Pelodiscus sinensis: one gene and its partners. The protein of the gene in region 1 interacts with the protein of each later gene in a biochemical or structural test. Links are inferred from orthologs where the notes say so. Each region holds a gene or a part of one and is shown in the gene's direction. Other genes may lie near its edges. The genes, in order: ARL2, PDE6D, TBCD and UNC119.

Region 1 (7,589 bases):
GTGTGTGTGAGGAGGCCAAGAGCCAGGGTAAAAAAACTAGCATTTGGTGCTTTGTAGGCTGGAGCAGGGGAATATGTTACCCTGTCTAGGGGACTCTGAGCAGCAGTAACTATAAAGCCTCCCATGTTCAGAGAGCTGTGTTAAACTTGACCTTGTGAATTACATGAGACAGGTTTGAATTTATTTTGCTACTCCCCAGTGGACTAAACCATCCCCGCCGCTAGCCAGATTGGCAGTGTCAGCTGAGGAGAAGCCTAGGAAGAGACTCAGAAGTGGAGGGTGCAGGACATGAGTGGGAGTTGGGGGGGGGGGCATTGGCTGCTGTGTGAGAGGAGCTCCAAGGTAGGGTAGCAGGAGGGCTGTGGTAGGTATTGAGGGGGATTGGCAGATCTGGGAGGAGAACCCAGAGGATTGTGGGTCAGGATTGAGAAGGCCATTGATAGAACCATGGAGAGGGGGAGTCGGGTTGGGATTAAGGGGCATTGGCAGAGCTGGGGGGGGGAGGGAGTGGAGCCCAGCCTGGGAATGCATGCGGCTGCAAGCCAGGACTGAGGAGCACCCGAAGAGCTGTGTGTGAACCCAGAACTGCATTGTTAGCTAATGCCAAGCTCCCCTGATCTTTAGCACTGGAACTCCTTCAACACCAAGGGCAGCCCTCTCTGTGAAGCCCTAGCATCTCTGAGAGCAGCTGGCTTCTTCTGTATCTCTGAACCCTGGCTCCAGCCCTCAGCTGAAGCCCAAACTGGGCTTGAGTGAAATGTGTTGCTCAGCGTGGGGCTCTGGGACTGGTGGGTGGCAGCTGGTAGAGCATCACAAAGGCAGAGGCTCTAGGGACAAGGTTTGTGACTAATAAACATCCTTGTTTAAGTAGCAATTGGGCTGGCTGCTGATTATTTTGTTTCTGCCTCAGTCCCTGGTTCCCTGCCAGTCAATGAAGATGACCTGCTGGCTTTGCGTAGGGGCTTCTCTTTGAGCAGCCACAGACCCTGACATCTTCTCCCCGCTGATCTCAGGCTGCTGAAGGAACCATCCCTCCCCTCCCACTTTGCACACAGAGCAAGTGGTGGGGCTGCTTGCTTCGGGGGTTGGACAACAGCCCAGGAGTTAGAAACAACTGGGTTTAATTCCTAGCTCTGCTGCAGACTGCTGGTGTGACCTTGGGCAGGTCATTTGGGCTCCACCATCTGTACAATGGGGATAATAGCACATCCCTGCCTCACAATGGGGAGGGGGAAAGGAGGGGAGGCTTTAAGGCACCCAGATGATGGCAATACCTGGCTCTTAGCAGATCTCAGATCACTTTATGAAGCAGGTCAGAATCATCACTCATTCAGGGGACTCTGAAGCACAAAGAAGGAATGTGACTTGCCCAGGGTCACCCAGGAGGTCTGTGGCAGAGAACCCCACTCTCCAGAGCCCTAGTCCAGTGAATTACCCCCCTAGGCCACACAGGCTCTCCTAATGGGGAAACACAGTTCCCAGGCTATGGGTGTGGTCCTAGAATGGGATCTGCCTCTAATGACCTTCCCTATTCCTCATTTTCTCTTCAAAGTACTTGCAGCTCCTTAATAGAGCCCGACAGCAGGAATCCTTCCCAGCACTGAGCTGAGATGTGTGTGCTATTAGGGGAAAAGAGTGGGATAGCTCTGGTGGAATGAAACCAGCCAGGCAAAAGGGTGTTCTCACATCAAACTGCTACAGCCAGATTCTCACACCATAGCTCCTTTGCCCCCTCCAGTAAAGGGATCATGTAGTGGGTGTAAATTACATTGTTAAAGCAGAGAGTAAAGGTGCCTTAGGCCCAGATCCTCAAAGGTATTTCAGCCCATAACTTCCATTGAAGGTAATGGAACCTGAATGCCATAGAGGATAGGGGCCTTGTACAGGCCTAGCCTGAAACTTGGTGCTCACCTCAGACTCTCAGAATTGAGATCTGACAGGTGGCATATCTGGTACCTGTTACTTTGCAAAGAGATATAACTCCACTGGTGGGTTGTGTGTGTCTGGGGCAACAAAGAACTCCCTCTACTAAACCTGTGTTCCTTTCACATTGTTCTTTAAGCTAGAAGCCCCTGTAGCTAGATGGGTGTGGGCATGTGGGAGGAAGAGGTGTAAGCAACTAGTGACTGCTGCACTGCTTTTGGGGCCGAGAGTAGCCAGGCTGCACCCTAGAGACCCAGCAACAGGGACTAGTCTCTTCTCAGACCCAAGGGGGTTAGAAGCTTGTGGGACACAGGATTGGGTCCACTTTCAACAAATTACATACAAAAGGACTGGTTTTGGCCTATTTAAAGCAGTACCATGCTGCACTCCTCCAGTTGGATGCAGTCAGAGAGGTATAGCAGTTCTGAGCTGTTCCCTACAGCAGTGGTGGATAACCTGTGACCTTGGGGCCGCATGTTGCTCATCGGGTTCTGTGTGTGGCTCACAAGATATTTTTCTTTACAGTTTTTCATTCATGGGGTTGTCCGCTAAGTTCTGTCTGCCTAGCTTTTTTCCTACTGGTATTACTAAAGCGATATGTATATAATCAAAGCGCTGTTACGGTTCAATCAGCACACGAGGTACACAAGCACAGTTAGCAAAACTACCGTAGCCCAGGAGACCATCCTGGGTACAACAATCTTGTGGCCCATTGAGATGGAGGGCCTGAATGGCCCCCACACTAGCCTAGGTTGCCCATTGCTGCTCTACAAGAAGGGGAGTAAGCTATAGCAGCCTCGGGTGCCTTTTTACCACTATCACTATGATCACTGGGGGTTGTCCTATATTTGCCAGTTTCCCTCTCCCAGCTGACAGTCGTAATGGAACAAACTGAAGCAAACAACAGTCGGGCCCTTCGTCTTTTGAGGAGAGCAATGTGATCTCATTGCTACCTGGGACGAGTTGAATAGAGAAATAACTTCTCCCAAAAGCTTATTGGTGATTAATAAAGTCAGTGCCCTCCTAGATACTATTTCCTACAACATTGTTTACTTTAGTTGCCAGTAGCCTCATTCCCCTTAGGAAAGCAAAAGTGTCCCCTCTCTCCAGGCTCACTCCTGTGCAGGGTTGAAGGACCGGTTTCTCTCTTACTCCTGAGGGTTGGACCCTGTGGAGGTAGGCAGAGGGTGTTTGCTCATTTGCTCAGGTAAAGGGGACTTTGCTCTCCAGAGGTCATACTCCACTATCACCTGCTAGTATGACATTCAGTCCCAGAATGGTGACACCAGTTTTCTCACTGATCAAATAGTTCAGTCTGTTCTATAGGCAAGGGAGACTTGGCGGTGACAGTGAAGTGAAGAATGGCTGCACATCTCCCTGCTGTTGGTTACTTGTACTGAATTTGTGTTTCTCTGCTCACCACCTTCAATAGCTGCCTGGTTGTGCTGCAGCACTTCTAGTAGAGAGATGCAGAAGCATTTGCACACATTGCATAGCACCAGCTAGGTGCTTTGCAGCTGTTGCAGCACCCTCTCCTTTCAGTAATAGATAGCTAAACTAAGGATGTTAAGTAACCGTTAATTTACTAGTCAAGTAATCAATGGAATTTCCATCGACTAGTCAATAGGCACTTTTTGCGTTTTTCCTTTGAAATGTACAAGAGCCCCCCGCTGGGGCTCTTGTACATTTCAAAGGAGGAATGTGGAATTCCGGGGCTGCAGGCAGCATGCCAGCTGTGAAATGTACAAGAGTCCCCAGTGGGAGCTCTTGTGCATTTCAAAGTGGCAGCGCAGCATGGAGCCGGGATCAGCTGTGCAGTGCTGCTGCTTTGAAGTACCTCCTTTGCTGCCTCTATCTGGTCGACTATTCCTTAACATCCCTAATCTAAACATAGTATATCATCCACCAGCTATGCAAGTAATGGGTGCTTTGCAGAATCAGCACCCCATAGCAGTCCTTACCCCCAGTGTAATGTGCACAGAAGCTCTGAGCTGTGATTGCGGAAAGTCAATCTTCAGTAACATGGGAGACATTAACACCGGTGAAAACAAAGGTGCCATTGCCTGTCTTAAGGGATCTGGTGTGCAGGAGGCCTTGCTTTCAATAAGGATGGCCGGTTTGCTCTTAGCTCTATCTCCAGAATCTGCATCAAAATAAACACAAACCTGTGCTATGACAAACTGGGCCCAGACATGGCCAAGCCCCCAGTGCATCTTCTCTCCTGCACTGGGATCTGTGCTGCCTGCAGAGATGGCAGGAACCCAGCTGGTGGGGTCAGGGCCAGTAGCTGCTAGCCTGGCTGTTGGGGGTGCACTGCTGCTTAGCTGATTCTTCCACCTACAGTCTCTCACAGCCCCCACAGCAGCAGTTTGCTTTCACCCTTGGCTGGTCACCTGGCTTCGAAGGGGTCCCATCCAACTGTCCCATTTTTAGCTTGGCTAGTTTTCCCTACCGACTTGTAAATGAACCCCTTTGAGGGGTTGTAGTACCACTCTCCGCCCGTAGGTGACGCTGTGGGCCAGCCGATGGTCCGCCCTCTCTGTGATTCCTGGGGTTAGCATCTGTGATTTCAGTCCCGACGCCTAGGTGGCGACGTGGGAAAATCTAGCCCAGTGAGTATTTCTCCTGGTGGCAGGGCTTGCTCTCGTTGGTTTTCGGCAAGGGCGGGACTTGTAGTGAGTGTACCCAATAGTGATCAGATCCATGATGATTGGCGGCGACGTAGCCCAATGGACGCTGGTTGTGGGAAGCCGGTGCCGGACGGGGCGGAAGAGGCGGCTGGTTTGCTGGTGATGGGGCTGCTGACTATCCTGAAGAAGATGCGACAGAAGGAGCGGGAACTGCGGCTTCTCATGCTGTATCCTTGTGCAAGGGGAGGGTGGGCTGTACCAAACGTTGCAGGATAAAAGGGGCTTTTAAGTGCGAGCGGCGATGGTTGTACCAAGATTTTGTGGGAGGCGGGTTTCCAATGGGGCTATACCAAGGGTCGGGGGAGAGGTGTATCCTGTGGGGCTGGGGGGTTGGGCTGTACCAAGGGCTGGGGGAGGGGTGTGCCCTGTGGGATTGGACTGTACCAAGTATTGTGGAGGGGTGTAACCTGTGGGGCTGGGGGCTAGGCTGCACAAAAGGTTGGGGGGGTGTCTTGTGGGCCTGGGATCTGGGCTGTACCAAGGGTTGGGGGTAGGGGTGGGAGAGCCTGGGCTATACCAAGGGTTTGAGAGGAAGGGATGTATCTGATCTGGGCTCTACCAAGTGTCCTGGGTAGGTTCTCTATGTTGTGGGTAGGGGGGTGGGATGTACCAGCTGTCCTGTATTCAGTGAATACAAAGAGGAGTGTACCAAAGGGTGATGGATGGGGGAGTTTACTAGGAGTTTCTTTTTTATGGGTTGAGCCACCATCCAGCTGTGACACGAATGTCCCACCTCCCCCATGTACTGAGCTGCCTTCTCCTTGACACATTTTCCACAGTGGTCTGGACAATGCTGGCAAAACCACCATCCTGAAGAAGTTCAACGGGGAGGATATCGACACCATCTCACCCACACTGGGCTTCAACATCAAAACCCTGGAGCACAGGGAGTGAGCGCCGGGCAGAGTGTCTGATCCATCCATGGGCCCAAAACCTGCCCCTCCCATCCATCCCTTGAACAGGATTGTCCCTTCTAAGTCTGATCCTTGCCCTCTCCCCAGACTGCAAACCCTCAACCTCTGCCCAGACCTAGTTTCAAATCCCCTTAGCCACTGGCAGTAGCACTGTGGAAAAGGATCTTGAGGTTTCAGTGGATTACAAATTGAATAATCAAATAAATTGAATAATACAAATTGAGTTAAAATGTGATGCAGGTGTAAAAGGCCTAATATTATTCTGGGGTGTATTAACAGGAGTGGTGTATGTAATTCAAAAGAGGTAATGGTTCCACTGTACTCTGGAATACTGTGTCCAGCTCTGTTAAGGGCTGCTTTAAAGAGGACCATCATCAGTTGTCTTGCCTTCAGTGGACATGGATAACAAGAAGCAACAGGCTTAATCTGAAGCAAGGGAGAGTTAAGTTTGATATTACAACATTTTTTTCTAACTATAAGAGTAGTTAAACTGTGGAATAGGCTTCCAAGGGAGGTTGGGAAATCACCACCAATGGAACTTTTTAAAAAAGAGGTTGGCCAAACACCTGTCTGGAATGGTATAGGTTTGCTGGGGGCCTACCAACAGTGCAAGGGGCTGGACTTGATGACTTTTCAAGGGCCTTTCCAACCCTACAGTTCTGTGATTCTATACCACACCCTTGATTTCACTGCCTAATAAACTCTGGTCTCCAGCCAGTTCTGTATTCTTTACTCCAAGTTCTGTACAGAGATACCTCACAGTTCCTGCTCCCCCTTGAGCTTAACCCTTTGGATTATGGGGGTGTGGTTCTTCTGCCCCCACAGGCTTACCTAAAGCAAGATGAGGTTCTCCAAATCACCAGCTCAGCCCCTTGCTCACTTTCTGTGGTTCTTAAGGAATTTGGAGCCAGGAAGGTTTGGTCTTCTCACAGCCAGCCAGATACAGAAGAAACATCCCCTCCTTCGTCCAGGATGCCTGTTCCATATTACATACTGGGATCTTGCCTGATTGTCCCTTTACCTCCATACTCTGTCTTTTTTCTTCTGTTCCCCAGCTTCAAACTGAACATCTGGGATGTGGGAGGCCAGACATCCCTGCGCTCCTACTGGCGCAACTACTTTGAGAGCACAGATGGTCTCATCTGGGTGGTGGACAGTGCTGACCAGCAGCGCCTGCAGGTCTGCAAGCAGGAGTTGCAGAGCCTCCTGGTGGAAGAGGTGGGAACTGCACCTGTGGAGGAAAGGGGGAGGAGGGTGTGCCAAGTGTCTTGGAGAATGGGCAGATGTATCCTGTGAGGGAAAGGAGGTGGAATATATGCAATAGGTTATATGAAGTCCCTTGGAGAGGGGGTATATTTTTTGGGCACTATCCTGTGGGTGGGTGGGCCAGCTTCTGGCTGAACCAGGCTTTGGTTTGGGCTGCCAGAGGGGCCTGGTTTGGTGCAGGTCTGCTGGAAGCAGGGCCTGCCTCTGCTGCAGAGAGGATCCTTGTCCCCCTGTTTCCAGGTCTTTCAAGACTCAAAAACAATCCCTGTCTGGGACAGAGCAGGAGAACTGTGGTCCAACTGCTAACTGACTGGGAGGGTGGTTGAAGGGTTAACAGGAGAATGGTGGGGCCAAGACAACTGGGCCATGCAGCTTAGCCTGTGCTTCTCTCCCTACAGCGCCTGGCTGGAGCCACCTTGCTCATCTTCGCCAACAAGCAGGACCTGCCAGGAGCACTGTCTTCCAATGCCATTCGTGAGGTAAGAGCCACTGGCCTGAAGCAAACTAGGGATCTTGGTCAAGGGACATGGACATAGGTACAGGGTTTTGGGCCTAGTGTCCCCACTGCTGTCCCCATGTCAGGGCACCAGTCCTGTGCCCAGGGGCCCCAGCCTGGGTCAGTGAGGGGCATGGACGGATAAGAGTGAGGGCACTGCTCAGCACCCCTGCTCCCTCTCCCCTCCCCCCCAAAAAAATGTGTTCCAGCACCACTGGGAGTGGGGTTTGTTGGTTGTAGGGTAGGGTGGGGAGGGACTGGAGTCAGCTCTTCTCTTCCCAGCTCTGGAAGGGGAATGGA
Region 2 (7,066 bases), on another chromosome or scaffold:
CAGGACAAGATAGGAATAAGAGACATGAGCTGTCATATACATCAGTTAAGAAGCACCTGGAGCAGGGAAACAAAAAACATAGCTAGCTTTCACGTGTGCCAATCATGTCTGCATCAGGCACTGACCACAATCAGACGTCATATCACAAGGAAGGAACCCTGATATGTACACAGTACCACAAAATATCAAATAACCCTAATATGGTACCGGATGTTAAAATTATAGTATAAAGCACCCTGAGCCCTAAGTTCGGGGAGGTTCCGTATCAAGATAGAGGAAACGTATCGTCCAGCCTGGCTAAGGGGTTGATCACCCAAGGCCGCCTCCCACCCACCGAATCACGAAAGGGTGTACGAATCCGGAGCATGCTACGCGTTGTTTTTGTCTGTGTATCATAATTGTCACTGGGTTTGTAAGTATTGCTTAATATATTATTCATCAGCTTATTATTTTTGTATTGAATTTCTTTAATGTATGTTTTATTTGCATGCTACGTTGTCTTAAACAAATCAGAGACAGTAATTGAATATAATCAAATTGTAGTCAATAAAGTTTGTAATTGGTTAAGTACATTTAAGTCTCGGGCTTTCCTCCTTCACGGCCCTAGTCCCTTGCCACAAAACATCACTCCTAGACAATCTATTGAGCCTCTGGTTCATCATATATCAGGTATGCAAAGTGGGAATTGATGAGCAAACAGCCAAAACATGACAAAAAAATAATAAAAGGAAACTTTTTTTCCCAATTCATCTGTGGAACTCACTGCCATTTAATAGCAGTGAGGTCAAAAGATTGTTAGACTTTTAAAAGAATGAAGGCTTATTGATAATGAAAACATTAAAATAACCATAGGTAGGATAAAAAACAGATTAAAACCCACTCTGTTTCAGGTCATAAGCCAGCACAAACTGATAGGAGTGAAGAAGAAACATTTCCTATCTGGAGATAACTGCCCACTATCATTTCTTGTGGACATGTGCGAGCACACACATACCCCATCCTATGACACATCTTGTATTGGCCACTTTTGTAGTTACAATACTGGACTAGACTAGAGGGTCCCATTGGCTGATCTGGCAATGCCTACATTCCAAGGAAATCATATGACAAATATTAACACAGTACAGTTAGGTATTTTAAACTCAGGGCATATGAAAATTAAACTGGGAACCACAAATCAGCCCCTTGTGTGTGTATATATTACAGTACTCTTGATTCCATTCCATTTGGTGGAAAAAAACTGCATGCTATCATATTATTTGAGAAACAGTATGTGACACCATGCAATTAACACTGAATTGTATGCTTGTACAAGGGGAAGAGCTAAAGGTCTGTGGTCCAATGCCTCTCCCCTCCCCCTGAGCCAGGCACTCCCAGCCCCCTCCCACCTAATGCCTCCCCCTTCCCCCAGAGCCAGGCACTCCCAGCCTCCCCAACCTAATGCCTGGGTCCCGGAGCTGCCCACCACACATAGGGTTGCCAGGACAGTCCAGTATTTGTACCCTCTGACTGGTAGAAAAATTCTGAAAATACTGGACACGTACAATGTCCGGTATTTTCTGAGTTCCCTGCTGGGCGCTGGAGGGAAGCCTGGTGGGGGCGGAGGAGCGACTGGGAGGCGGGGCCGTGATTGGCTCTGGTAGCCCTGTGGTCACGTGCAAACGCTGGGCGGGGCGGAGGCAGTGGCTGGTCCCAGCCACTCTTCCCGCCCAGCTTTTGCACGTGACCAGAGGCTCCCAGCACCAATTGCAGCCCCGATTCCCAGCTGGGAGCCTCTGGTTGTGTGCAGAAGCCGGGCGGGGGGAGTGACTCGCAGGCCTTCCCCCTACCCCCGCCCCCGCAACTAGAGGGAGTGCCTGCCGGGGCCGCGGCCCGAAGGACTCCGGCTGTGGCCAGTGGCTGCACCCCGTCCCCCCCACCAGCTCTGCTTCCCGCCCCCCTTCCTCTGGGCCTCCCTCTCCTTCCGTCCAGTCCCGTGGCCCCCGATCCCCCCCGCTCTGCTTCCCAGCTCCCCCCTTTCTCCCGGCGAGCCCCACGGCCCCCAGACCCCCCCCCCCCCCCCGCCAGCTCTGCTTCCCGTCCCGCCCCCCTCCTGGCCAGCCCCACCCCCGTCCCAGCCGGTTTTTGGCGGGGTCTACCTGGCAACCCTAGCCACACACTTCTTCCTCGGGTGCTGGGGTGGTGTGAGTACAGCGGCCAGCTGTGAGCAGGCACTTGAAGCCTGCGCAGAGCAGCCCGGCCAGCCAGGAGCACGTGCTGGGGACCGTGAGCAGAGCAGCCCAGCTGGCCGCGAGCAGTTGCTGCGGTGCCGTGTGTAGAGCGGCTGACCGTGTGTGATCTGCACTTGGCCATGTGCTCCGAGCAGCCAGCAGGCCGCACTTTATCCTTTTATAAAATGTAGTGGTGGGCCACAAAAAACTTCGATCTGGCTGCATGTGGCCCTCCAGCCGCCTGTTTGACATGTCTGGTCTAGATGGTGTTGAGTCCGGCTGTGAGGGCAGGGGACTGGACTCGCTGTCCTCTCAAGCTCCCTTCCAGGCCTAGTGGTCTATGATTCTATGTCCATCCACGGGCATAGGGCCTGACTGTGAAATGCTGCAAGCGGAACTGTACTTGCGACCTCTGGAGCTTAGTGCATTAACCTCTAGCACAAGGGGGGGAGGCAATAATTTTTGGTGGGGCCAGGATGCTTCTGGGCTACCCCAGCCCCAGACCATGATTGGTCTCGGGGTGGGGGAACCCCTTTGCCCCCCTTCCCATTAGGCACCCATGCCCCTGGCAGGGCGGGAAGAGGCGTTGCATGCTCCCCCAACCCCAGGCCAATCAGAGCCTAGGGGTGGGGAAGTGTGCGAAGCTCCCTCCCACCCTGCGAGGAGTGCATGGCACTTTGAAGTGCTGCAGGACGAGGGGAGGGCAGAGGAAACTTTGCGCACTCCTCCCACCCCCAGGCCAAGCAGCACTTGGAGGCGGGGGAGCACGTGATGTCTCCTCCCACTCTGCAAGGAGCGCATGGTGCTTCAAAGCGCTGCATGGTCCTGCCAGGGTGGGAGGAAGCTTCGCATTTCCCCACACCCAGGTCCTAATTGGCCTGGGGGTGGGGGAAGCGGCAGGGCCTCCGTGGGCCAGATCAACCCACTCGGTGGGCCGGATCTGGCCCACGGAGGCCCTTTTGCCCACCCCCAGGAGTGGCCTGAGGCCGGCTGTGGCAGCTGGCGCCCTAGGCGGAAGGCGCGATCAGCGGCCCCGCCTGCACTGCCGTCAATGGCCGTGACGTAATCATGGGGCGCCCCGGCCAGCGTCGGTCTAGGCTATTGCCTAGTTTGCCTAGGTTCATGGGACGCCCCTGCCCTCCCCTGCTCTAGCACTTGAGCTAAAAGTCAGTTGGATCTCAGCTAAGGCTGTAGAGCAGACTCATTATTCTCTCTGCAAGTGGTCTCAGTGCCCCAGCTGGGACCATGCACTATACCCAGTCGGGGTGCAGCTACATACAGGGGAGGGAGCAGGCAGGCAAGGCTGACATCACACCCTAGGGAACATTATGGGGTACAGGCTGACCAGGATATGCGAGTTGCTCTCTGGCCCATGTTGGGATGTCGGATGGTTAGCCCTTCGAGGGGGGACTGCAGGCGGAAGCACTCGCCCTTTGCAGCAGGAGGCCCAGTGCAAGGGGTGGTGGTGCTGGGGGCCACAGCCAGCTGTTTTACTCCTATAGCTGCTGGGGGGTGGGGTTGCCCAAGTGTGCCAGGTCCTAAGGATGGGGGCTCCCTGCCCCTGCAGCCAATGCTGCCGCCGGCAGGGGGCGCAGCGAAGCACCCTCAGCGGCGCATGCGCAATTGCGCGGCAGCGCCCCTTGTGGCCGAGACCCGCAGCTGCAGCTCCGCTCCTGGCTCCCGCCTCCGTCTCTCGGCGACGTCAGTTTGCTGGGACGTGCCCCTTAGCGACCGCCGCGCAGCCTCCCTTCCTGCGCGCCGCAGACGGCGCTGCCTGATTGGCTGCGGGCGCTGTCGGTCGGGAGCGAGGGGGCGGGGCGCGGTGGCGCGGGGCGCGGCGATTGGCCGGCGCTCCCAGGGGCGGGGCGGCTCCGGTCCGCTCTGGTTGGGGGTGTCGGACGGTGGCGGGTGCAGCGTCCCGAGCGCCGCGGTCGCTGTCCCGGTGAGGCCCGTGAGCGCGCCCAGCCCCCCTCCCCCCCGCCCGGCTCCGGGGCGCGGAGCGGAGCCGCCGCGGGACCATGTCGACCAAGGACGAGCGGGCCAAGGAGATCCTGAGGGGATTCAAGCTGTATCCGCCGGGCGGGGGAGGGGCCGGTTCGGGGGGGGAGGGGCGGCGAGCAGGGCCCCCCCCCCCGGTGCTGTCACCGAGCCCGGCGCGTGCTGAGGAGCGGGGCGCAGATCCGCTGCCCCCCCCCCCCCGGCCAACTGCGGGGGGGCCCGCCAGGCTCCGTGCCGGGTTACACCTGTGGGGGGGGGGGGGGGCAGCGGCTGCGCCGTCCCGCGTCTCCCGCTGCGCGGCGGGACCCGCCGTCCCCCCGGACCCCCCATCCCTGCCGAGTTGATCCGCTCGCGGGAGCTGTCCAGGCGTGGCTGCTGCTGGACAGCAGGTAGGGCAGCTGGCGAGCAGCCGTGCCTGGTGCTCCAGGGTTGTGGTTTCATTTTTGCTCGGGAAGCAGAGCTTGGGCGAGGGAATGAAAAGTAGGCAGGTGTGTCTGTGTGGGCAAAGTCCTGAGACGCGGATGATCACTGCCTCTCACCGCAGTCCTATCCCTTCTTTCCCAGCCTTACGCTCTGAATAGTGGCTGCAACTTAAGGATCCACCTCTGCTTGGCAGGGAAACGCCTAACTTCAAAGTCCAAAAGAGGTGTAGATAAGTAGCTACCTTGTTCCTTTGGTTGACCCAAAAATCCCCCCCTCTTTTGCCTATCAGGCAGTGGGATGTGGTACAGCTTGCTATCTAGAGTGCTTGTTGTGTGTAATCACTAACATGGTATACATTGCCCTTCCATGGGGCCCGCTGATGCTCATCTTAAATTTGTATGTGCTTTGTTTAACTGAGCAAGAAGTGAAACCTAAGGCAAGAAGGAGAATTGAAATCCTGGATTCCTCGCCTACCCAGGATTTTAGTAAAGGGTGGAAAGATTCCATTAAAAAGGAGTACATGTGTGAAAGGAGTAGGAGAAATAGGGTAAGTTTATTTTAAAAGACCCAGCCTTTCATTTTTCAGTGTAATGAATGTAAAGTAGGAAGGTGCTGGTCTTGGTCTGGACGCTAGGGGAAACTGTAGTTACTGATCAAATTCAAGAGAGCAAAAGTAGTAGTGTCTACTGTGGTACTGTAGTATTTTTGGTTATTTTGCTTGCTGAGATTTTTGCTGCATCAGTTTGTATATAATCTCTAACAGCTGTGGAATGATGTTCTGAGCTGTTCTATGTAGGATTTAATCAACTAGCTACCATCTGAAAGTGTGAGCAGATGTTTCTCCCTGTGAAAGTATGGTATTTCCCCCCCCCTCTTTTTAGCAGTGATCCCCCTGTATCCAGTCAGTCTTAAAAATATTTTTTCTGGAGTAGCAGCATTGGAAGTTCTTCCTTGTACATGCAGCTGTCATGTTTCAGTTGTCAAGAATATTGTTACCAAGGCTGAGATGTTCAGGCTATTAGAGAAGATTAAACTTTTGACAAATTTAAGCTAACAAGCTAGAGTCTTCATTTCCCACTAGCTCAAGACCTCAGACGTGCACAGGGCATAAACTCCAGCTGCTAGTTTTTATTTGGCCCTCCAGCATTTGCGGGCTAGGAAACTTAAGCAGCAGCTATATTTCAGTGATGGATGGGACGGATACAATCCCTGTGTATAGTTGATTAAAATAATAAACTTTTTCAGTTTTAGCAAGGGAAGATGTTGTGCAAATGTAAGGGTGCATCTGTACAGCATTAAACACCTAGAACTAGTTTTACTTCAATGGTGAGAAGCAGCTTTTATCACTTATTTGTATTTTGCTCTGGCAATGTGAAGTGAGTGTAAAACTGCCATAGTGGAATAAAAGGGTATTGGTATAAACCAGACTCATGCTCAATGAGTTTGATGAACTATGCTCATTTACATGGAGGCCTTGTCTGTACTAACATGAGCCTTTGACCTAGGTTACGCAGGTTTTAACTTGAAATAAGGCTACACAAATTGAGCTATGTGTAGCATATTTTAAAATTGGGAGCATCTACATAGAACTTTTTCCTTCATGGAGAAGGTCTAGGTTGGATATTAAGAAAAACTATTTCACTAGGAGGGTGGTGAAGTGTACTGGAATGGATTACCTAGGGAAGTGGTGGAATCTCCATCCCTAGAGGTTTTTAAGTCTCAGCTTGACAAAGCCCTGGCTGGGTTGATTTAGTTGGGATTGTTCCTGCTTTGGGCAAGGGGCTGGACTCAATGACCTCCCGAGGTCTCTTCCTGTGATTCTGTGATTCTATTCCCTTATGCCTCGTACAATGAGGGTTACAGGAGTAGGAGTAAGAAACCCTTCAGTTTGACAGTATTTTGACATTCTTTTGAAATAACTGCCTGCTTGTGTAGATGCAGACTAAATTATTTCAAAATAGCACTGTCGTGTAGACTTACCCTCAGAGATAGTGTAGGCAAGGCAATATCTTTTATTGGAGCAACTTCTGTTGGTGAAAGAAGTTAATCCAATAAAAGTTATTACTTCACCCACCTTCACTCCCTCTAATTCCTAGGACTGACATAGCTATACTACCACTGCATATGCAAATGTGAAATTAAATAGTTTCCAGTAGACCAGTGTAGGACTAATGTAATTAATTTTAACACACATTATGGCCCATCTTAGTAGCTTAATGACAATGCTGAGCACCATCATTTGGGAGCAACATAAGTTCAGTTTCATTTGCTCCTTCAAAATGACAGGGTCTTGGAATAGTATAGAAATTGAGCCCTGATGGAGGAATTGACAAAAAGCAAGTATCACATGGAAAGTGATGTCTTTTGATTCATTAGAAAACATCATTTAAATACTTAAAGAAGCATGATTTAGACTTCATTTGTAAGGCTGCTGT
Region 3 (7,751 bases), on another chromosome or scaffold:
TTGATTAGTGGGACTGATAATACAAAGAGGCATGACAAAAAAGAGCCAGTACAAGATTGGATGGTGGGGTCTAGGAGGGCACGCAACAGAGTGAAGTTGCTAACCCTCCAGGAACAAAGCTCGCAATCCTACCACATGGGATGGGAATATAGTCCTGGAAGAGAGCTGAAGAGTGGCTGGAGGGTGAGCTATTGGGCTGGAATTAACTGTGGTGGAGAGTTTCTGGGGATAGGTGATGGCCAGCAAGAAGGAAACATTCTTGACATAAAAGTAACATGGTAGCAGCTATTTTTAGTATCTGCACCAACGACACTTCTCTCCCATCCATCGAATGTATGAAAACGGTTTCATTTCCAGAACTGAGTATGACTGGGCTCAGGATTGGCCATGGTCTTGTTCTGTGCTAAAACACACACTGAACATCCACAGTGACAATATGGAACTGCTCATGCAATAGTGCTGATCATGTAATTGATTGGGGTGGGATTCCATTCCCCTTCCAGGTCAGAAGGGAGCCAACCCACCCCACTATGGGAAGGGTGAGGTTCGTTGCTGGGGAATCAGCATCCTCTGTCCAGAGTATGCCTCAGGCTTGCCTCCTGGTTGGGCAAGTGTGACGTAGTGGAAGTGCCTTGCTAGGGCTGTGGCGACCTCTGCTGTCTGGTCCTTATGCAAAGGGGGCTCCAAACCTGTCTGACCAGCCACCCCCCATGGGGAGAAACAAAGGAAGGTGGATGCTGCCCTGGCTGGGGGGCAGGGCTGGAGGAGAGTTAGTTTAGTTCGGGTCTGGGAGCATGGAGGAAGCAGCCTCAGCAACAGGCTGGGGGGTTTAGAAGCCGAGACCCCTCCCCCATATCAAGGGGGGCTGAGGCATCCTAGGCCTGCCCTGTAACCTGGTGACATCTGTGCTGTGCTGTATTCTGGAGAGGCAATAAACTCCCTCTGTTCTACCAGTTGGTGGAGTCTGTGCATGCCATTTCGAGGGCGCAGGAGGCGGGGAACCCCAACGCGCCGTCACACTACCCCACTATGGCAAGGGTGAGGTTCGTTGCTGGGGAATCAGCATCCTCTGTCCAGAGTATGCCTCAGGCTTGCCTCCTGGTTGGACAAGTAACATCAGTTAATAGCCCAGACTCAGGTGCAAGCAGGATAGGAAACAGAGGTCACCTATTTAGACAGAGTAGCCTCAGTTCAACTCAGCCTCTGGTTTAGAGTGGAGCAGCACCGCAATTAGTGAGCTTAATCTGATTGCAGATGAAGCAGCAAATATTTAAGGCCCAGGCTCTAGTTCAGGTTCAGAGAAGGGCAGCAGCATATTTAATTAGCCTCTGGCTATCTGCCTGAGGAGACTACCACCCACAGATTGAATGGCAGGCAGGACACAGGCCCACCCACTCCACTATCTCCCAGTGGCAAAGTGGTCTGCCATTGAGTCAACAGTGATCCAGGCCTGCCACTCTATCACCGCTGCAGGCTGCTGAGTGTACCATTCTTGGGCCACCTCCACACGCCTCCTCTATGTGTATGGAACAGAAGTGTCTTGGTTGCTAGGTACCTATGTCACCAGAAGCAGCTCTTCCAGGGTCAGTTCAGCAGGAGTCCAGGGAATGCAAACTAGTCTGCATCTTCCTTTGGGGTGGGTTCAGTTTGGCCAAGGATCCAGGTCGCCCAGACCAATCATCAGCTTCTTCCAGGTCTACTACCAGCACAGACACTCAGGCTACATCTACACTGGCAGCTTCTTGTGCAAGAACAGCTGTTCTTGTACAAAAACTTGCCGGGTGTCTACACTGCACTTGCATTCTTGCGCAAGTAAATGTACAGTCTAGTATCGGAAAACAGGGCTTCTTCTGGTAGAGTTATTCCTCTCCCCAGGAGGAATAAACCTTCTTGCAAGAGCTCTTGTGCAAGAGGGCAGTGGAGACCGGAAACATGAATTTCTTGTGCAAGAAACCCCTATGGCTAAAATGGTCATCAGAGCTTTCTTGCGCAAGAGAGCGTCCACACTGCCATGGATGCTCTTGTGCAAAAGCACATCTCTTGCGCAAAAGCACATACCAGTGTAGACGCGCTCTTGTAGAAGACTTTTTGCGCAAGAACTCTTCCTTGCGCAAGAACTGTTTTGCGCAAGAAGCTGCCAGTGTAGACATAGCCTCAGTGAATGCATCTCTGCCAGTGGCTGGGTTCCAACTTAGCCCTCAACTCTGCTTTTTATACTTCTGGCCCTGCCCCTCTGATTGGTCTGGTGAGAAGTGGTCTTCCCCTTCTGGGTCAGAGGAGAACAAGCCAATCTGTCTCAGTACAGTCATAAGAACAGCCATACTGGGTCAGATCAAAGGTCCATCTAGCCTAGCATTCTGTCTGCCAACAGTGGCCAATGCCAGCTGCCCCAGAGGGAGGGAACACAACAGGGAATCATCATGTGATCCCTCTTCTGTCATCCATTTCCACACAAACAGAGGCTAGGGACACTATTCCTACCCATCCTGGCTCAGAGCCATTGATGGACCTAATATTCATGAATCTATCTAGTTCTTTTTTGAAACTTGTTAAAGTCCTTGTCTTCACAACATCCTCTGGCAAGGAGTTCCACAGGCTGACTGTGCACTGAGTGAAGAAAAACTTCTGTTTGTTTTAAACCTGCTGCCTATTAATTTCATTTAGCAACCCCTAGTCCTTATATCGTGGGAATAAGTAAATAACTTTTCCTTATTCACTTTTTCCACACCAGTCATGATTTTATAGACCTCTATCATATCCTCCCTTAGCCTCCTCTTTTCTAAACTGAAAGTTCAAGTCTTTTTAATCTCTCTCCATATGGGACCTGTTACAAATCCCAAACCATAGACTTCTAGAATACTAAGTCATCAAGTCCAGTCTCCTGCCCTCATGGCAGGACCAAGCACAGTCTATATCATCCCTGATAGATGTCTATCCAACCTGTTCTTAAATATGTACAGTGATGGAGATTCCACAACCTCCGTAGGCAATTTATTCCAGTGCTTAACCACCCTGACAGTTAGGAAGTTTTTCCTAGTGTCCAACCTAGTTCTCCCTTACTACAGTTTAAGCCCATGGAATGTTCTGATTGTTTGCTAGCCATTCTGCTCACAATCTATGCAGAGTGACGTCTGGCTGAGACACATTCAGTGCAGCGCTTACTGATAGGAGCAGGGTTTTGCATTTGCTGAGTTGGATAGGGCTGCTCTCCAGGGACCACAGACATCCTAGTGTGAATTTTGGATACTCTGTGTTGCAAACAGGTCACATGCACCCAGAGCTAATCTAAGGGTACGTCTAGACTACATGCCTCTGTCGCCAGAGGCATGTAGATTAGGCTACCCGACAGAGTAAAATGAAGCGGCGATTTAAATAATCGCCGCTTCATTTAAATTTACATGGCTGCCGCGTTGAGCCGACAAACAGCTGATCAGCTGTTTGTCGGCTCAGCGCGATAGTCTGGACGCTCCCCTGCCGACATCAAAGGGAGTTGTCGACAACCCAGGTATGCCTCCTGGGATGAGGCATACCTGGGTTGTCGACAACTCCCTTTGATGTCGGCAGGGGAGCGTCCAGACTATCGCGCTGAGCCGACAAACAGCTGATCAGCTGTTTGTCGGCTCAACGCGGCAGCCATGTAAATTTAAATGAAGCGGCGATTATTTAAATCGCCGCTTCATTTTACTCTGTCGGGTAGCCTAATCTACATGCCTCTGGCGACAGAGGCATGTAGTCTAGACGTACCCTAAGGCTTGATAGGGAAGCTCTATGAGTAGGTTGATTAGGGGCTGGCAGACACTACATTCTTACTGGAGTGTATCAGCATTAGTCAGACTTCATTAGCTCAGTCACTGCATACAGCAGGGCTACGTCTACACTGGCAGCTTCTTGTGCAAGAACTGTTTTGCAGAAGAGTTCTTATGCAAAAAGTCTTCCACAACAGCACGGCTACACTGGTATGTGCTTTTGCACAAGAGTGTCCATGGCAGTGTGGATGCTCTCTTGCGCAAAAAAAGCTCTGATGACCATTTTAGCCATAGGGGTTTCTTGCCCAAGAAATTCATGTTGCCTGTCTATACTGCCCTCTTGCGCAAGAGCTCTTGTGTACAAGGGCTTATTCCTCCTGGGGAGAGGAATAACTCTTCCGGAAGAAGCCCTGTTTTACAACGCTAGACTGTAAATTTATTTGCGCAAGAACACACGTGCAGTGTAGACACGGGCAAGTTTTTGCATAAGAACAGCTGCCCTTGCGCAAAACCCGCCAGTGTAGACGTAGCCGAGGTGTCTTCATTCCCATACCCATTTTGAAGGGCTGTCCCAGAAGGGTTCTCCCTGATCAGCCAGCTGTTCAGCCTGGTGTAAAGGGAGAACACGAGGCAGATGCCCCCCCTCGGGCCAGGACAGCTGAGTGCCAATGGGGGACCAGGCCCTCTCTGGGTCAGGTACGGGCCAGCACTGTGGACACGTGCGCGCCCAGCTTTGAACTGTGCAGGCCCGGAGCGTCCGAAGCCCCCAAGCGCCGCTCGCTGATTTCCAAGGGGAGGTGGCTGCCTGGCTCGTCGGGAGCGCGCCCCGCGGCACCTCAGCGCGGGCACCCAGGACTCGGGGACCTGCCCCTGGACGCCGCCCGTGCGAGGCTGTAACGGCACCAGACGTTCAGGCCCCCCCGCGGGGCAAGGGGAAGCCCGCGGCTGAGGAGACAAAAATCCCCCCCCCCGGGCTGTGCGTGGAGCTCTGCGAGCCCCGCCCCCGCCCCTGCAGGGAGAGGCCGCGTTCGGGAACGGCGTCGTTCCCGCGTTGTTCTGTCCCGCACGGCGCCCCGTAGCCGGCAGGCTGGGCGGGCAGAGTTGAGCCTGGGCCGGGATCCGCGCAGAGGCCCCCGGGAGCGGAGCCGCGGTTGCCAGGGTAATGCGGCCCTGCGTTCGGAGCGCGTGAGGGGTCCATGCAGCTTCCTCTGCCTGGCCCGGGGCCGGGAGTGGGAGCCCGCTGCGGGTGGGTGGCGCCTCTGACGAGCCCCCTCCCGCGGCTGAGGGATGCTGGGCCCCGGCTGCGCGCTGGAGCTGCCGGCCACACCCCGGCTCCACGCAGACCCCAGTCTGCGCAATTGGATTCAGTGGCTCTCGGCACCTGGGGCGCGGGGTCTCACACGGCCCGCGGGCCCCCTACAGCCCCCCCCCGGCAGTCCCTGCGAGCGGGGGGGGTCTTTCCCCATCCGCCAGCCCCCCGCCCTCTCCCCCATAGTACCCCTTTCGCCAGGTCCCCTCCCCCGAGGGATGAGGCTCCTGGAATTACTGCGGGGGCAGATCTGTCACTGGGCACAGCAGGGGTCGGGCCCTCTGTACTCACCGTGCTTGCTGGAGAGCAGGGGAGCGGAGCGGAGCTACTGCCCTGGGCGAGCCCCCCAGTAGGGATGTGAAGGACTAGTCGACAGGATAGTCTGTTAGGTGCTTCTCTCCTCCCTTGCTGCCTCTATCAAATAGGGCAGGGAGAAGAGGGGGGGTACTTAAAAGCAGAAGCGCCGCATGGAGCCTGGGGTCAACTGTTCCTTGCAGCGCAGCGCTGCCACTTTGAATGCCACCGGCAGCGCTGTGTGGAGTCCGGGATCAGCTGAAGGCTCCCCCACTGACCCCGTTCTCTATGTGGGCTGCTAGCTTCAACGGTGGAGGTGCCTTATCGACTAACCCAGTGTTTCTCAAACTGTGCTCTGCAGAGCCCTGGGGCTCTGTGAGGTTGACAAACTGGAAACATCGATAGGTACAACACATACAAGACAGCTAGGGCTCTGCATTAATTTTTATGCATGTAAAGGGCTCCAGAGCTCAGAAAGTTTGAGAACTGCTGGACTAATTGAATAGTCAGTGAAAATATGCATCAACTATTCGAGTAGTCAATTACCCGATAATTAATATCTTTATCCCCAAGGCTGCATTGCTCTAGGAAAGAGATTTGGAAGGGAAGGGATGGAATTGGGATGGGGATAGGGTTTATGGGACATGCCTTCTTTGGGCCACACAGACTCCCAAGCCAGAATGTGAAAAAGCTGTAGCTGTAGATGGCCCATGGGTGATGAGTTTGTGACCTCTGTTAAATTCCAATGTATGGAGACTTCTCTTTCAATCCTGCCCCCTATATTGGATTTTTGGGGTCATGGTGGCCCCTCTATTAGTCCTCCTCCGTATCCTGGTGTGGGGTGTTGATTTGGTTGTGGTGATTATTCTTTCATCTTACTCTACCTGATGTGTGATGTGGGGTTGAAGTATTGTTTGTTCTTATGTTACCAGGGAAGAATTGATTGCTGGTTTTGGAAATGGCATTGAGTGAGATGGAAGGCGATGGCTCAGAAGAGGAGCAAAGCGGATGCCAGGAGCCAGATGTCATTGCCAGTGGAAATATATTGGAGAGTTTCACAGAGAGTCAAGAAATCAGAGGGTTAATTAACAACCTGAGAGGGGTGTATGGGGATCAGGGAACACGAGAGGTGACAACTGAAAAATTCATAGGTAAGGTCTGAGGATGTACAACCTTTAGGGGGTATATTTTTTATTATAGTTGAAATACTGCTAAAGAACAGAGGGTAAACTAATGTTTTAGACCAATTTTTGCTCTGAGGAAGATTAGTTTTATTATAGAATCATAGATACTAGAACCGGAAGGAACCTTGAGAGGTCATCAAATCCAGTCCCCTGCCCTTATGGCATTCCAAGCTTATTATTCATATCAAGCTTATTAGTCGTGATAGTGGAAGATCTTGGCTGTCTGAGCTGTCATAAAATATCAAGGAAACCATTCCAGAATGAACAAGCAGTAGGTTTAGATACATTTTTAATAATTGACTTTAAGGGTGAATTATCTATCCTTGGGCTCGGTCCTAGTCCTAGTGAAGTCAATGCAATCAGGAAGCAGATCTATTTTAGTTCCTGTCCTTGTAATGCTGCTGTTTGATTATTGGTGTAATGAAATGAAGTATTGCCATCTAGCTGTTAAAGTACAGGTCTTGGAGTTGGAAGATATGAGTTGTTACATCAGTTCATTCATTTGCCTCCTATGTGACTATTAACAAAGTAACTTAAGCTTAACAGGTGATCTTTACTGGGTATGCTCTGGTATATTAGGGATGTAACCGGGTAATGGTTAACTGGTACTTGGGAGCAGCCCCAGCCTGTGGCCCAGCCATGAGCTGAGCTAGCAGCCCCTGCAACGGGGGTGGCGCAGCCACCATGGTGGCAGCCCCCCCACCCACACCACTTTAATTGGTTCAATGGTTAAATGCAGTGTTAGTGTTATGTTTAACCAGCTAAAAGGGATTTTACATTCCTGTTAGCCATATGGGCAGGGATGGTGTCCCTAATCACTGTTTCCCAGAAGCTGGGAATGAGAGAATGGATCACTTGATGATTTCCTGTTCTGTTCATTCCATTTGGGGCATCTGTCATTGACCACTGTTGGAAGACAGGATACTGGGCTAGATGGATCTTTGTTTTGACATAATGTGGTTGTATTTATGTTATTTCTGATATATAGTTATTTTGTCATCCATGTCCTGTATATTTTTTTTCACCTATAAGCACAGCCATCCTAGACTGTAATTTTTAGGGGATGAGACAGTAAGCTACAAAATTAATGTAATTATGTTTTAGCACATTTTCACTAGTTCTTTTGAACTTTGGTGTACAGGCAGTCCCCGGGTTACGTACAAGATAGGGACTGTATGTTTGTTCTTAAGTTGAATTTGTATGTAAGTCGGAACTGGC
Region 4 (7,893 bases), on another chromosome or scaffold:
CAGGCATAGCATCTGTTAGCATCGACATCTGTTGGGAAACCTATACGGCAGTACACAGGCAATCCAGGAAGTTTTTGGAGAATGTTGGGGATAACTACTTGACGCAAGTGCTGAAGGATCCGACCAGGGGCCGTGCGCAGCTTGACCTGCTCACAAACAGGGAAGAACTAATAGGGGAAGGGGAGGTGGGTGACAACCTGGGAAGCAGTGATCATGAGATGGTAGATTTCAGGATTCTGACCAAAGGAAGAAAAGAGAGTAGTAAAATACACACCTTGGACTTCAAAAAAGCAGATTTTGACTCCCTCAGAGATCTGATGGGCAGAATCCCTTGGGATGCTAACATGAAGGGGAAAGGAGTCCAAGAGACCTGGCAGTATTTTAAAGAAGCCTTATTGAAGGCACAGAAAGAAACCATCCCGACGCGTAGCAAGAGAGGCAAACGTGGTAGGAGACCGGATTGGCTTACAGGGGAAATCCTTGGTGAACTTAAGCACAAAAAGGAAGCTTACAAAAAGTGGAAACTTGGACAAATGACCAGGGAGGAGTTTAAATGTCTAGCTCGAGAATGCCGGGGGGTTATCAGGAAGGCAAAAGCGCAAACGGAATTGTGATTGGCTAAGGATGGGAAGGATAACAAGAAAGGTTTCTACAGGCATGTTAAGAAGAAGAAGGTGATCAGAGAGAGTGTGGGGCCCCTACTGGATGAAGGAGGTAACCTAGTGACAGATGATGTGGGGAAAGCTGAAGTACTCAATGCTTTCTTTGCCTCTGTATTCATGGACAAGGTTGGCTCCTGGACTTCTGCGCTAAGTGACGCAAGATGGGATGAAGATGGACAGCCCTTGGTGGGTAAAGAACAGGTTAGGAACTATTTAGAAAAGCTAAACATACACAAATCCATGGGCCCAGATTTAATGCATCCGAGGGTACTGAGGGGTTTGGCAAATGTCATTGCGGAGCCTTTGGCCATTATCTTTGAAAAGTCGTGGAGATCGGGAGAAATCCCGGATTCGAAAAAGGCAAATGTAGTGCCCATCTTCAAAAAAAGGAAGAAGGACAATCCAGGGAACTATAGGCCGGTCAGTCTTACCTCGGTTCCTGAAAAAATCATGGAAGGGATCCTTAAGGAATCCATATTGTGGCACTTGGATGAGAGGAAAGTGATTAGGAATAGTTGGCATGGATTTACAAAGGGCAAGTCGTGCCTGACCAATCTGATTAGCTTCAATGATGAGGTAACTGGCTCGGTGGACATGGGGAAGTCAGTGGATGTGATATACCTTGCCTTTAGCAAGGCTTTTGATACAGTCTCCCACAATATTGCCAGCAAGTTAAGGGAATGTGGATTGGATAAATGGACGGTAAAATGGATAGAAAGATGGATAGAAGGCCTGGCCCAGCGGGTAGTAATCAACGGCTCGATGTCAGGATGGTGGTTAGTTTCTAGCGGAGTGCTCCAAGGTTCAGTTCTAGGACCGGTTTTGTTCAATATCTTTATTAATGACCTGGATGAGGGGATGGATTGCACCCTCAGCAAGTTTGCGGATGACACTAAGCTGCGGGGAGAGGTAGATACACTTAAGGGCAGAGATAGGGTCCAGAATGACTTAGACAAATTGGAGGATTGGGCCGCAAGAAATCTGATGAGGTTCAACAAGGACAAGTGTAGAGTCCTGCACTTGGGACGGAAGAATCCCAAGCATAGTTATAAGCTGGGGACCAACCAGTTAAGTAGTAGTTCTGCAGAAAAGGACCTGGGGGTTACTGTGGATGAGAAGCTGGATATGAGTCACCAGTGTGCCCTTGTAGCCAAGAAGGCTAATGGCATATTAGGTTGCATTAAGAGGAGCATTGCCGGAAGATCCAGAGATGTCTTTATTCCCCTTTATTCGGCTTTGGCGAGGCCACATCTGGAGTATTGTGTCCAGTTCTGGGCCCCCCACTACAAAAAGGATGTGGACACACTGGAGAGGGTCCAGCGGAGGGCAACCAAAATGATGAGGGGGCTGGAGCATATGACTTATGAGGAGAGGCTGAGGGAGTTGGGTCTGTTTAGTCTGCAGAAGAGAAGAGTGAGGGGGGATTTGATAGCAGCCTTCAACTTCCTGAAGGGAGGTTCCAAAGAGGATGGAGAGAGGCTGTTCTCAGTAGTGACAGATGGCAGAACAAGGAGCAATGGTCTCAAGTTGTGGTGGGAGAGGTCCAGGTTGGATTTTAGGAAAAACTATTTCACTAGGAGGGTGGTGAAGCACTGGAATGGGTTACCTAGGGAAGTAGTGGAGTCTCCATCCCTAGAGATGTTTAAGTCTCGGCTTGACAAAGCCCTGGCAGGTTGATTTAGTTGGAATTGGTCCCGCATAGAGCAGGGGGCTGGACTTGATGACCTTCTGAGGTCTCTTCCAGCTCTATGATTCTAGGCTGCAAGCTGTCCTCCCTAACTGAGCTGCCTTGAAATGAACAATCAAAGCAGACAGGTCTGAGGCACCAAGCAGTGCTCTTGGCTAGAATCTTATCCTGTGTGGTTTGTAGCATGCAGTCCTCTTGATTGGTCAGTAACTAGATCCATCTCATAACCACTGATTCTGATACCCACTGTGGCCTGCTTCCTTTATCCAGCAGTCTTACCCGAAAAGGGCAGTTGTAGCAGGCAAGATGTCTCAAAACACAGCTGTGGAATCAGAGCCGTCTGGGCTGTTTCCTACCTACGCTACACCAGTGAGGTGTAATGAGGCACCAGGGCTTCAGTCATGGGCAGCAGCTCCTACTGCCCTCTTACCTCCCCTCCCCCATTCCACTACCCCCACCTCAATCCAGCTCCTGCTGTTTCATCCTGATCCCCTTGCCGGCTATGTCTAGACTGGTATGATTTTCTGCAAATGCTTTTAACGGAAAAGTTTTCCGTTAAAAGCATTTGCGGAAAAGAGCATCTAGATTGGCACGGACACTTTTCCGTAAAAGCACTTTTTGCGGAAAAGCGTCCATGCCAATCTAGATGCAGTTTTGCACAAGAAAGCCCTGATCGCCATTTTCGCAGTTGGGGCTTTTTTACGCAAAACAATACCGCATTGTCTACACTGGCCCTCTTGCGCAAATGCTTTTGCGCAAGAGGGCTTTTGCCCGAATGGGAGCAGCATAGCATTTCCGCAAGAACACAGACAATCTTACATGAGATCGTCAGTGTTCTTGCGGAAATTCAAGCGGCCAGTGTAGACAGCTGGCAAGACTTGCCAGTCTAGACGCAACCACCTAGTATTGTTAGCATAACTTGACCTGCTGTACTTACTATTCCTACTGCATGGGGCCTGAAACTCCTAACAGAGTGAAGTTTCAGCTGTCCATTATGTTCCAGGTACAGCCAGTGTTACTTTGAATGAGAAGCAGTGTTGCTGAAAGCCAGCCCCACTTCTGTTTTGGTAATGGAGAAGGCTGGAAGAGGCTGAGAGTTGGATCAGGATGCAGTTGGGTGTATTTCCATTAGTTTGCAGCATTGGGTAGAACTGAACTAACTTCTGCCTGGATTGGCCTAGCAGCAGGATTTGAATGGACTCCTAGCTTCTTGATTCAATTTTGCTGCTGAAAATGAGGATACAGCATGACCTATCACACACTTCAGTGTAGACTGCTAGCAAGTGCTCTTTGAATTGCAACTTGATGCTGCGTGGCCTACACCGTTCCTGAAGTTGCATTATCCAACTCCAGGCACATCCAGTGCAAGGCTAGCTGAACTGGTAAGGTAACCTGTGTGTGCGTGCGCAAACATTGAAGTAGTGTGAAATAAACCTGCAACTGCCTTTGCTTTTCTCTTTAAAATGTGCATTTGCTACTAGTCTGGATTGACAGTAGCCACCTTAATTATGTCTATTAAATCTCCTTAGGAAATGCCTTTCAGTTTGCTATATCTCATTTAAAATAAGGATGTGAGCCAGCATCCTGATGGGTCTAAACAGCTACTTTTCAGAAATAGAAGCATAAGAAATTTCTGGATTAAAAATTCCAGCAGCTCCACACTGCTTAAAGTATTTGGGAAGAGGAGAGGGGTCAGGCAGTGACTGCAAGCTCTATACCAACAACGGGCAGCATAGGCTCTTCATCTCAGTTGGCCACAAGACTTATAATCAAGGTGGTCTTCTGGGGTGGGGTAGTTTTGCTAACTGGAATTTGTGGGGTGTGCCAATTGAACTGGAACAGCACTTTGGATGCAGAGAGCACAGAACTCTCACAGTCAGTGTTGCGTGTGACCAGCCCTCCCTTCCTATGCCCTTGTCACTTTAGTAATAGTGGTAGGGGAAAAAATGACAGAGACAGAAACTAGCATAATCTGACCCTCCGGATGTGGACACTGGTGAATGAAATGTCTCTTAAGCCACACACAGAACCCTGACGGGCTGCATATGGCCCATGGCCTGCAGGTTGCTCACCACTGCTCTAGCCTTTGTCTTGCTCCTGCAGCTGAGTCACAGTCCTCTGAAAACTGGCTTACAGAAGAAGGGGCTATATAGAGGATGGCTGTGAACTGCAGAAAGCCCTTGAACCTCCCGTGTGTATCATCTGCACTTTAGACTGATTCGCAGGCTTCCCCTCTAGCAACCTGACCAGAAAGCCCCTTCCCCACACCCTCTGCCATTTCTGCCCTAGAAGAGTTGGGATGAGGGCAGGCAGTGGGGCGCTGAGTGGAGGGGACTTACAGACTGGCCTGCGGGAAGGCAACCGAGCATGTCTTTCCCTGGCCGCGGTAGCCGGTTTCTGCTGGCTTGGAGGGAAGGCAGCCAGCATCTGGCCGCAGCCCGGCGGGGGCATTGACAGCACCGCGGCTGGGCTGGAGACGGGGCAGACAGGCAGGGTCGGTGGAACTCCCGGCCACTGACGGCGGGGAGGGGCCGCGTGGCCCCACCCGCCGCGGGCGGAGCTAGGCCCGGGCGGATCGGCGGCAGCTGGGCTCTGCCGGCAAAGACGCCGAAGCCGCGGGCGGGGGATGAGTGAGCCCGCCCTCCGCGCCGAGAGTCGCGCGGGCCGGCCGGACAGCGCGGCCATGCGGGTGAAGCGGGGCGGCGGGGCGGCGGGCCCCGAGGAGCAGGAGCTGCTGCGCAAGCCGCTCATCGGCCCCGAGGACGTGCTGGGCTTGCAGAAAATCACGGGCGGTGAGTGCTCGGCCCGGCCTGCCCCTGCAGAGGGGCCCGCCCCCGTGGGCCCCGGCCTGCCCCTTCGCTTCCCCTTCCTCGGGGGTGCCAGTCCCTGCAGGGGGAGGTGTGCCCACCCTGCAGCGGGCTGGCTGGGGCCCTGGGCTTGCATAGGGCTCCTGCCTTGTTTCCAGTCCCTGCAGGGGGAGGTGTGCCCACCCTCCAGCGGGCTGGCTGGGGCCCTGGGGCACGGGGCTTGCATAGGGCTCCTGCCTTGTTTCCAGTCCCTGCAGGGGGAGGTGTGCCCACCCTGCAGCGGGCTGGCTGGGGCCCTGGGGCCCGGGGCTTGCATAGGGCTCCTGCCTTGTTTCCAGTCCCTGCAGGGGGAGGTGTGCCCACCCTGCAGCGGGCTGGCTGGGGCCCTGGGGCACGGGGCTTGCATAGGGCTCCTGCCTTGTTTCCAGTCCCTGCAGGGGGAGGTGTGCCCACCCTGCGGCGGGCTGGCTGGGGCCCTGGGCTTGCATAGGGCTCCTGCCTTGTTTCCAGTCCCTGCAGGGGGAGGTGTGCCCACCCTCCAGCGGGCTGGCTGGGGCCCTGGGGCACGGGGCTTGCATAGGGCTCCTGCCTTGTTTCCAGTCCCTGCAGGGGGAGGTGTGCCCACCCTCCAGCGGGCTGGCTGGGGCCCTGGGGCACGGGGCTTGCATAGGGCTCCTGCCTTGTTACCAGTCCCTGCAGGGGGAGGTGTGCCCACCCTCCAGCGGGCTGGCTGGGGCCCTGGGGCCCGGGGCTTGCATAGGGCTCCTGCCTTGTTTCCAGTCCCTGCAGGGGGAGGTGTGCCCACCCTGCAGCGGGCTGGCTGGGGCCCTGGGCTTGCATAGGGCTCCTGCCTTGTTTCCAGTCCCTGCAGGGGGAGGTGTGCCCACCCTCCAGCGGGCTGGCTGGGGCCCTGGGGCACGGGGCTTGCATAGGGCTCCTGCCTTGTTTCCAGTCCCTGCAGGGGGAGGTGTGCCCACCCTGCAGCGGGCTGGCTGGGGCCCTGGGGCACGGGGCTTGCATAGGGCTCCTGCCTTGTTTCCAGTCCCTGCAGGGGGAGGTGTGCCCACCCTGCAGCGGGCTGGCTGGGGCCCTGGGCTTGCATAGGGCTCCTGCCTTGTTTCCAGTCCCTGCAGGGGGAGGTGTGCCCACCCTCCAGCGGGCTGGCTGGGGCCCTGGGGCACGGGGCTTGCATAGGGCTCCTGCCTTGTTTCCAGTCCCTGCAGGGGGAGGTGTGCCCACCCTCCAGCGGGCTGGCTGGGGCCCTGGGCTTGCATAGGGCTCCTGCCTTGTTTCCAGTCCCCATTTGGCTGGAGTGACCCCTTGTTCCCTAAGGCCTCTGCTAGCCTGGCCCGGCCCTTCCCTCCTGTCTGTGTGCCCAGCAGTCTGTGCCAGGGCAGAGGCCCTGCTTTGCCCAGTTGGGCAAGGGCGGAGGTGGGGGGTACGTCGGAGACCTGCTGAATTTTGTCTGTCCTCTCGCTCCATCTCCCGAAGGCCAGCCCTGCCACTGGGTATTTACTGCATGTGGGCTGTGTCTCTGGGGGCTGCCTGAGGACAAAGGGGTGGCACAGGACAGCACCTTCCCCCGAAGAGGGGGGCATTGATGGTGTAGGCTGAGGAGCTGGTGCTTAAACCCTGAAAATGCAGGGCCAACTAAGTCTCCGAATTCAGAAGCACCCAGCTCCTTCAGCCTTTAGCTTTGTTGTTAGAGGGGACAGCTTCAGTGGGACACAATGTTTCTCTGTCCGTGTGGACAGACTATGGGACAGCTTGAGGTGGTGGCTTTGTGCTGCATGTTCCCTAGCTGATGCCCAGAGACACCTGCCCTGGTCTGAAGTTCAATCTGAAGTTTGTGGCCTGGTTTCCTGTGTTTGCAAGACAGCTATGCATGAGCCAGCCCTGTGGGCAGAGCCCTGGGTGCTGGGGGCAGCACTGAATGGTGATGGCACTTCTTGCCATTGTGCCTGGCTGTGGAGTTGGGGGTGAACAGCATCAACGTAACTCACTGGATGGGGGGAGCTGCAGTGACTTTCCCACCTTCCACTTGGCTTGGGGTGGGGAAGAGGATCAGGGAGAAAAACCATGGTTTGCTAAGCTTGTAACCCAGGATTGTTCCTTAAAATAGTTTCGCGTGGGGTTTTCTGTGCCTTCTAAATCGCTTTGTGATTCTGCCATAGTCTGTTCTTAAACTCCTCTTCTGTTCAGCTGGCTTTGCTGAGAGCCCACATGCCCTATGTTGGTCACTGCTGCAAGAGGAGGGGCAGGTTATGGCTGTGGAAGAGAGTCTTTGCTCTCTGAGCTTCTCTTCCTCCATGCACAAAGTATCCATGGAGCTGCTGGTCTCTACTGGGGACTTTGCGCAGAGGGCAGGAGAATGCCTCCAGGTGACCCCTTGTGCTGTGTAGGTTCAAAGGGGGAACCAGTCCTTTGGAGGCTAGTCACTGTGGGGTAACACATCTGAGTTATTAGCCCTGCTGATTGATGAGGAACAGGCTGTTGTGCTTTCCAGCCGTGTGCCTCTAGCATGTTGCAATGGGACTTGGGGGTTCAAGTCTTTCTGGCCTCTGCTGATCACAGAAGTACCAAGAACGTAAGAACGGCCAGGTTGGGTCAGATCACCTGTCCATCTAGCCCAGTATCCTGTTGGCCAACAGCGGCCAATACCAGATGCCCCAGAGGGAGGGAACACCACAGGTAATCCTCACGTGATTCCTCCCATGTCACCCATCTCCTGAGAAAC

What was found.
Region 2: the proteins of ARL2 (region 1) and PDE6D are reported together in a solved structure, tested with the Homo sapiens proteins (2 studies listed by BioGRID and IntAct, with this or other methods). The link is inferred for Pelodiscus sinensis from reciprocal best matches to the Homo sapiens genes ARL2 and PDE6D.
Region 3: the proteins of ARL2 (region 1) and TBCD form a complex in vitro, tested with the Homo sapiens proteins (2 studies listed by BioGRID and IntAct). The link is inferred for Pelodiscus sinensis from reciprocal best matches to the Homo sapiens genes ARL2 and TBCD.
Region 4: the proteins of ARL2 (region 1) and UNC119 form a complex in vitro, tested with the Homo sapiens proteins (2 studies listed by BioGRID and IntAct, with this or other methods). The link is inferred for Pelodiscus sinensis from reciprocal best matches to the Homo sapiens genes ARL2 and UNC119.

Annotation. Positions count from the first base shown.
Region 1 is NC_134721.1:34,795,705-34,803,293, reverse strand, and holds the start of ARL2 (ADP-ribosylation factor-like protein 2), read left to right. Parts: upstream 1-4,589; 5' UTR 4,590-4,652; coding exon 4,653-4,780; intron 4,781-5,392; coding exon 5,393-5,503; intron 5,504-6,582; coding exon 6,583-6,745; intron 6,746-7,191; coding exon 7,192-7,272; intron 7,273-7,589. UniProt on the Homo sapiens protein: Small GTP-binding protein which cycles between an inactive GDP-bound and an active GTP-bound form, and the rate of cycling is regulated by guanine nucleotide exchange factors (GEF) and GTPase-activating proteins (GAP).
Region 2 is NC_134720.1:49,904,122-49,911,187, forward strand, and holds the start of PDE6D (retinal rod rhodopsin-sensitive cGMP 3',5'-cyclic phosphodiesterase subunit delta), read left to right. Parts: upstream 1-4,060; 5' UTR 4,061-4,228; coding exon 4,229-4,278; intron 4,279-7,066. UniProt on the Homo sapiens protein: Promotes the release of prenylated target proteins from cellular membranes. Modulates the activity of prenylated or palmitoylated Ras family members by regulating their subcellular location.
Region 3 is NC_134730.1:5,553,272-5,561,022, reverse strand, and holds the start of TBCD (tubulin-specific chaperone D), read left to right. Parts: upstream 1-4,749; 5' UTR 4,750-4,905; exon of another isoform or gene 4,906-4,992; intron 4,993-6,281; 5' UTR 6,282-6,307; coding exon 6,308-6,500; intron 6,501-7,751.
Region 4 is NC_134731.1:101,855-109,747, forward strand, and holds the start of UNC119 (protein unc-119 homolog A), read left to right. Parts: upstream 1-4,878; 5' UTR 4,879-4,975; coding exon 4,976-5,141; intron 5,142-7,893. UniProt on the Homo sapiens protein: Involved in synaptic functions in photoreceptor cells, the signal transduction in immune cells as a Src family kinase activator, endosome recycling, the uptake of bacteria and endocytosis, protein trafficking in sensory neurons and as lipid-binding chaperone with specificity for a diverse subset of myristoylated proteins.